Linked DNA regions of Xenopus tropicalis. The protein of the gene in region 1 interacts with the protein of each later gene in a pairwise test. Links are inferred from orthologs where the notes say so. Each region holds a gene or a part of one and is shown on either strand. Other genes may lie near its edges. The genes, in order: mkrn2 and rack1.

The links.
Region 2: the proteins of mkrn2 (region 1) and rack1 interact in binary tests that used the Homo sapiens proteins (3 or more experiments, as listed by UniProt). The two-hybrid records come from large-scale screens. The link is inferred for Xenopus tropicalis from reciprocal best matches to the Homo sapiens genes MKRN2 and RACK1.

The regions. Positions count from the first base shown.
Region 1 is NC_030680.2:153,474,750-153,478,064, forward strand, and holds the end of mkrn2 (probable E3 ubiquitin-protein ligase makorin-2), read right to left. Parts: intron 3,264-3,315; coding exon 2,953-3,263; intron 2,869-2,952; coding exon 2,654-2,868; intron 1,762-2,653; coding exon 1,651-1,761; intron 1,351-1,650; coding exon 1,206-1,350; intron 833-1,205; coding exon 686-832; 3' UTR 626-685; downstream 1-625. UniProt on the Homo sapiens protein: E3 ubiquitin ligase catalyzing the covalent attachment of ubiquitin moieties onto substrate proteins.
Region 2 is NC_030684.2:71,557,434-71,561,849, reverse strand, and holds the start of rack1 (receptor of activated protein C kinase 1), read left to right. Parts: upstream 1-1,444; 5' UTR 1,445-1,513; coding exon 1,514-1,622; exon of another isoform or gene 1,623-1,750; intron 1,751-2,109; exon of another isoform or gene 2,110-2,204; intron 2,205-2,379; coding exon 2,380-2,551; intron 2,552-2,915; coding exon 2,916-3,063; intron 3,064-3,249; coding exon 3,250-3,345; intron 3,346-4,379; coding exon 4,380-4,416. UniProt on the Homo sapiens protein: Scaffolding protein involved in the recruitment, assembly and/or regulation of a variety of signaling molecules. Interacts with a wide variety of proteins and plays a role in many cellular processes.

The DNA.
Region 1 (3,315 bases):
TAGGAAGGGGTTCCTTACTGTAAGGGCAGTCAGGTTATGGGATTCCTTACCAAGAGAGGGGGAATGAGTGATACATTGGGGGTGGGGAGGAAAGGGGATCTCACCATCAGCATAGGAAGGGGTTCCTTACTGTAAGGGCAGTCAGGTTATGGGGTTCCCTACCCAGAGAGGGGGAATGAGTGATACATTGGGGGTGGGGAGGAAAGGAGATCTCACCATCAGCATAGGAAGGGGTTCCTTACTGTAAGGGCAGTCAGGTTATGGGGTTCCCTACCCAGAGAGGGGGAATGAGTGATACATTGGGGGTGGGGAGGAAAGGGGATCTTTATAAAGAGAAATGGGGATCCTCAATCTAGTGTTTGAGTATAATAGCCCCCACCCCAGGGCAGTAACATTAAGATCCAATGCAGATCACATGACACTTCCCATGAGGCAGTGGGCCCCAGAGCTGACATGAAGGCAAGGGTAAGGCAGAAGGGTGGGTACCAGTGTTGGCCCATACGGTTGCAGCTGAGACTGAATGTGGGGGGGGGGAGAACCAATGTATTTGCAGTAGGACAGAGGGTGAGGGACCCCCCCCCACCTCATGGGGCCCCTCTGTACAGACAGACAGAACAAGAGACAGTCCCAGACATCAGGTTTATTGTTGTGCAAACGGGTCACTAATGATTCCGGCCGGGGGGGCTCAGTTAGAGGCTGCGGGGGGTTCCTCACCGACTCCGGACAGGTGCATAAAGAGCTCCCCCAGTTCCGCCACCTCATCCTCTGCATCAGGGAGGTTCCGCTGCTCCCGCTCCTCAATGAAGTCCCACAGCCGCACCGAATTGAGAAACTGCAAGGAGGCAACAGGATGTCTTATGGATGGCTCCTCCCCCAGGCAGCTAATGCTATACACAGGGTAACCCCACCCCCTCCCCAGGCAGCCAATGCTATACACAGGGTAACCCCACCCCCCAGCCAATGCTATATACAGGGTAACCCCACCCCCCAACCAATGCTATATACAGGGTAACCCCACCCCCCAGCCAATGCTATACACAGGGTAACCCCACCCCCTCCCCAGGCAGCCAATGCTATACACAGGGTAACCCCACCCCCTCCCCAGGCAGCCAATGCTATACACAGGGTAACCCCACCCCCTCCCCAGGCAGCCAATGCTATACCCCCCACAGGAAGGTTCGGTACCCCCACACAGCGCCTCTTACCCTCACGGTGCCTTCGGACCCAAGCTGCTTCCGTGGTTTCTCAGGTTCTGCCCTCGTCCCATCAGGGTAGGCGTGTAAGTAAAGGCATTTGCCCCCAAATGGGCACGTTCCCCGCCCCTGATCAAAGTATTTACAGGCTTTTTTCCTGGAACAGAAGGGATGGGGGGTCCTCCGGTTATTCCTATACAATGTGAGGGGGGGGGTTCTCTGGGACCTGAGCCTCATTCAATGACCCCCCAGCACTATGGCAGCACCAAGACACTGCTGCAGGAGGGGAGGGGCGGGGGGAATGTGTGCCAAGTCAGTGTGGCGATAGGGTGGGCTGAATACTGGGGGTCAGCCTGGCACAGCTGGGGGGGCATCAGCCCCCAGAGACACAGGAAGGCCCTAAATACCACAGAGGGGCAGAGTGGGCACAATGTGTGTTTGTGGGGGGGCCACTCACCCCATTCCCTGCTTAAAGGCCTCAATCAGCTCAAACTTCTTGCTTTGGTCTTCGACCCAATAGGCGCTGGGGATGACGAACTCGGAGATGACGCGGCACTCTGGGCACGACCTGCAATACAGGAGTCAGTGAGCCGGGCACGGGGGGGGGGCACACCCCTCCTACCCCCCCAACCTGAGGGCCCACAGGCTCCACCCCCTTCTCCGGGTCAGGATTTGCCCCTGTGCCCCACACAGTGCCAGCTCTCCTCCTGCTGATTTAAAGGGGAACTGTCACTGTGAGAGAGAAATCACATTTAACCCTTTGTGTACCCCTCATTCCCAGGATTCTGAGAAGCTTCTCTAACGGAGCTGTGCCCTCACTGGGTGCCAGTGGAGCACCAGCCCCCCCCCCCCCGGGTCAGAATTAGCCCCGTGCCCCACACAGTGCCAGCTCTCCTCCTGCTGATTTAAAGGGGAACTGTCACTGTGAGAGAGAAATCACATTTAACCCTTTGTGTACCCCTCATTCCCAGGATTCTGAGAAGCTTCTCTAACGGAGCTGTGCCCTCACTGGGTGCCAGTGGAGCACCAGCCCCCCCCGGTCAGAATTTGCCCCGTGCCCCACACAGTGCCAGCTCTCCTCCTGCTGATTTAAAGGGGAACTGTCACTGTGAGAGAGAAATCACATTTAACCCTTTGTGTACCCCTCATTTCCAGGATTCTGAGAAGCTTCTCTAACGAAGCTGTGCCCTCACTGGGTGCCAGTGGAGCACCAGCCCCCCCCCCCCCCCCCGGGTCAGAATTAGCCCCGTGCCCCACACAGTGCCAGCTCTCCTGCTGTTGATTTAAAGGGGAACTGTCACTGTGAGAGAGAAATCACATTTAACCCTTTGTGTACCCTTTCATTCCCAGGATTCTGAGGAGCCTCTCTAACTGACCCCTGCCCTCACTGGGTGCCAGTGGAGCACCAGCCCCCCAGCCGTGGCCACACCTACCTACCTACCTGTGAGGGCAGCACTCACTTGATGACAGGATTCTCGAACTGGCGGGCACATCTCCACTGGCGGATACATGCCAGGCAGTAGGTGTGGTGGCAGTTGGAGAGGATGCCGAAGCGCCGCTCGGAGGGCGACTGTTTGTCGTAGACGCGCTCCATGCAGATGCTGCACACCTTGCCCTCACTGGCCTGGAAGGCAAACGCTCTCTCCATGTCCCGCTCGAAGTTGGCCATGCACAGCTGGCGGGAGAGAGGCAGATGAGGCACCCGTGCCAACCCCAACCCCCCCCCCCCCCCCGTGCCCCACAACAAACCGCCACTCACCTTCTCGTGGTGCCCCCTCTGCTCCTGGTCGTACGGATGCAGGACCTGGAGGCCGCAGATCTCGCACACGTTGCCATGGATATAGGGGCAGCTCTCGCCATAGTGACAGCCACCGGCCTGGGCAAAAGGGCACAACTGCTGGGGGGCATCAGGATAGGCGCTGGGGATTGGGGTCTCATCCAGTCCGGTGCAGATGGCTTCCAGGTACGAATGGGGTTTGGCCTCCAACTCACTGACTGGGGGGTCAGCGGCGCAGCCGGGCCGGAGTGCAGGATCGGGATGAGCCTTTTCCACGGAGGCGCCGCACAGATCTAAGAGGGGAGAGGTCAGAGTGACGCGCAGCCGTAACACCCCCTTCCCATA
Region 2 (4,416 bases), on another chromosome or scaffold:
CCAGAGTTTATCTTTTCCTGGAATTCCTGGTGATTGCCCAACAAAGGCATTTTTTTCATTTTAGATTTTACATTGTCTTGAAATTTAAGAGGTATGTTACAATTAGTAATGTGCAGCATGGGCCGCCCTACTATACCCCCAGAATGAATACTTAACCAACAGATAGTTTATATAATTTTAAGTGACCTAGTAATCTCACCAAAATGGAATATATATATATATCAGTAAATATTGCCCAGCTCTAACCGTAACAGGAAGTAGTGTGGGAGTTAAAGACAGAACCCTGTCTATTCATTGGCTGATGGGGCCTAGCATGTATGTGTGCCTTGGCTTGTTTGTGTGCACTGTGAATCCTATGATCCCAGGGGGTGGCCCTTAATTCTTAAAATGGCAATTTTCTATTTATGATTACGCAATAGCACAAACTACTAAAAATGTCTATTTTTATGAAAATGGTTTATTTAGATGAAGCAGGGTTTTACGTATGAGCTTGCTTATGCAATATATTTTTGTAGAGACCTACATTGTTGGGGGCTATAGTTCTCCTTTAATGGTGGTTTCAATCCCAGTTTACAGTTTGGTTCAATCAAAAATAGTGAGAACTTTGCCATAGGCTGCGTGTGGCTTAAAGAGCAGAATTTTTTTTTTTTTATAAGGAAATTGTTCAGTGCAGGAGATACTGCAGTGTCCCTGCCCTAGTTCAGGTGGGGGAGTAAGGAGCAGGGCGCAAGGTGTGGACTATAATGCCAAAAGGTACCCCTACAAACAGAGATAACTCTATAAAGGAGATTCCCCAGTGGTGAAAGAGACCCAGTGGGGCACTGACTAATATAATACATGTAAAGCATGTTTTGAAGCACTTTTAATGTTTCTAATGTTTTATTTCCTGTTTATGACAAAAAAAAACTACTTATGCCTGCCGCCCAGTATCCTCATGATAGTTACGTTTTAAACAACAATATATCCAAGATGTGCGTGTTCCACACTTACGGCAGCTAACATTCCACAACCAATATGGCGCCAGCACACAGTCATATAAGCATGGGAACCCTCTCACGTGTGCTACAATCAGAACGCAAACTAGCCTGCGTACGGTCAGCCTATCCCCGCGATTTCTCTATTTGACAGGGAAAGTAGTCACCAGTTGATTTAATAGCCAATTCTGTTCTAGCGCTTATACCTATGCTTGGAATTCACGTTGTCATTCATATTTTCTTTTTTTGTCTTGTTTTAAAAGATTTTAAAGTAGCGCGATTTTTTAGCCTAAGTTGCACTGTACGACATTCTGCAACTCGCTGCCATGTTGAAACTCGTTTCTGGTGATGTAAACAAGTAATGCATCCGGGTAAAGGCGTCCTGACGCAAGGCGGCGCAGCGCGCTTACGTCAGGACGCCGCTTTGTATAAAAGGCGAGGCGAGGCCTAGTTCAGCCTCTCTTCGGTCGCTTTAGGCCCGGTGTCTACCATCTGTCTCCATCCTTTGCCGGTGGAGCGGTTTCGGACTCATCGCAGCCATGACTGAGCAAATGACACTTCGGGGGACCCTAAAGGGCCATAATGGCTGGGTCACGCAAATCGCGACTACCCCACAATTCCCGGACATGATTCTCAGCTCTTCCAGAGGTGAGATGCATGAGACGCCTACTGTAGCCTATCGATCCACGCAAGTTTATATGCATTGCGGTATCCGGGACCCCGTTTATCGTTAGAACAAGAGCATGAATGCTTACACGTTGCTTTTTTCAGCCCTGGTAAATGTGATTGCTGTAACTACTTAGTGTCGCTGTGTGATATGTTACTGTATCGGGGCTAAAATGGCTCCTCATTCATTATGCGTCATTGGAAGTCCTAACTATAATGAAGCTTTTCTTTATCTGTCGTTTTGATTAGCAAGGGAAAGATGGTGGTAGATTTTGCGGGCTAACTTACCTTTTAATTATGGTGTGAGCGATATATGATGTATAGTGGCAGCTATTGTTTGCTAGAACTTTGTTCCTTAGCCCTTGGTACTGAAGAATTTGCAGGCTGACAATGCCATAGAGTTGTATGAGCAGTGGTGGAAGTGTTTTTTCTTTGCACATCTCATGTCTTCATTTTTCTTGCATACTAGATAACCTCATTCTTCTGGCAGTTTGGGTTGTGCAAAGGAAAAACATCTTCACCTGCTTACAGACATAAAATGAGACACCGTAGACCAATGACAAGGTATGGCATGGCTTCGCTGTGATGGCATGGTTTATTTTGGGAGGGTTACCCCTGTGTGGAACTGCCTTGTTGGAGGTTTACTGCATAGAAGTTGAGGTTACCACTTATTTAAATCAGCAATAGTGTTCTTATGTCCTTTGACTTTTTTTTTTTTTTTTTTTTCCTCTCTGCACAGATAAGACTGTCATCATGTGGAAGCTGACTCGTGATGAAACAAACTATGGGGTTCCACAACGTGCTCTCCGGGGTCACTCCCACTTTGTCAGTGATGTGGTTATCTCTTCAGATGGGCAGTTCGCTCTCTCAGGATCCTGGGATGGAACACTCAGACTGTGGGATCTTACAACGTGAGTACACTTATCCTTGTTCCATTACCTGGCCTGTTAAATGGCTGCTTTTCAGAATGTTCAGCAAAAGTTACTGATCAGCAGCAGGGAATTAGACATGGTTTCAGTACTACAGAATTTGACTTATTACTTGGATAGAAGGAATGACTGGACTAACTTTAGCATTAAGAATCATTTGAGTCCACTTACTGTCAGACCAGAATATCCCTGCAGGGGAAGCATATGACAAAGGACCAGTTAAATAGTAACCTAGGTAGAGGGAAGCTATGAATCTGTCCCTCCCCCTGCAGGGTGGCACAGAAAGGAGTGTTCTGAGGGGAATGGATACTGTCATTTTGTCATCGTGTCAAATATCCCTCTGCAGTGGCACCACCACACGCCGGTTTGTAGGACACACCAAAGATGTCCTGAGTGTCGCTTTCTCTGCTGACAACCGGCAAATTGTGTCTGGATCCCGTGACAAAACAATCAAGCTGTGGAACACTTTAGGCGTTTGTAAATACACTGTGCAGGTATGTATGAGCGTTATAACTATATTTTAGTTCTGTTGGTCCACGTGATTAGAACAATTGTATTCTGAGTGTCTAATATAGGCACACTAATTTCAGGATGACACTCCTGCAATTATGAAGGGACCAAATAAACAGTCATTCTAGGTCTTTTGGCAGGCTGTTTACTAATGAAGCTGTCTTTCTTAGGAGGAATCACATACTGAATGGGTGTCCTGTGTCCGGTTCTCCCCTAACAGCAGTAATCCCATCATTGTATCCTGCGGCTGGGACAAGATGGTGAAGGTGAGTATTTTGGATGCCTCCAGTCTTAATACGGGTTCAGAGTTTTTTTTTTTTTTTTTTTTTTTTTTTTAAATGCATACTTGTTTGGTAAGTAAAGTGTTAAGCAGCTTTAAAGCGTTTTCACTCCCCCTTTAAATAGTGCACTACTGACCCCTCTTAAACAAGTACTAAGAACTAAGCCCTGAAAATAAGTGGCTAGAGATGCCCACTTTTATATACTGAATGTTCAGGTCTTCTGCAGTTGTCACGGGAACTCCCCATCTTGGATTTTATTAGTGTCGGTGACACTCGTGCTCAGTGTGCAGTTGAGATGCTAAGTCTAGGGGTTGTCGCAAATTTTCTAGCCTGTCAATAGTTCTAAGCTCGGGAAACAGAACAGAACAGAACATGTGCAGTGAATCATCAGAAAAGATGGGAAGCTACTGGGGCACATTACTTCTAAAGGGCTATGATTTCCTAGGGCTGTTACAAAAGCGCAAAACACATAATGTAAAAATAATTATGCCCTACTTCTGTAGTTAATCTTGCAGCTCTGCTTTCAGCCCCCATACATGGGCCTACCAGACACAGCATTTGAGTGATGAATGAATATTGTAGTGGCAGTACATGTGTGGCTTTTTTTTCTATTCAGTGTCGACACTGAACAAATTAGACAAATTGCAGAGTTGCTGCTTCCCTTCTGGCTGACTGGAAATTGGCCATGAGGACTGCTGATCCTTGATCTACCAGAATCATGGAATTATTTATCTTCCCCCCCCCCCCCCCCCCATCCTTTTGTATTGGCTATATAGGCACACAAAGTAGGCCCATATGGTCAAAATTGGCCAAACTACCCTACCAAGTCATGGCCAGTATCCTCTTGCACCTTTTTAAGAATACCATATGGTACAGGTTGTTTACTATATGAAATCTTTCTCTCCATAGTTTAACATCTGTGGATATGTACATAGTGCATTTAATCTTTTTTTTCTGTGTACACATCCTTGGATTCCAGTAGCCTATAGTTGTATTCTAAATGACTTTTCTTATTTCAGGTCTGGAATCTGGCCAATTGCAAACTGAAGACCAACC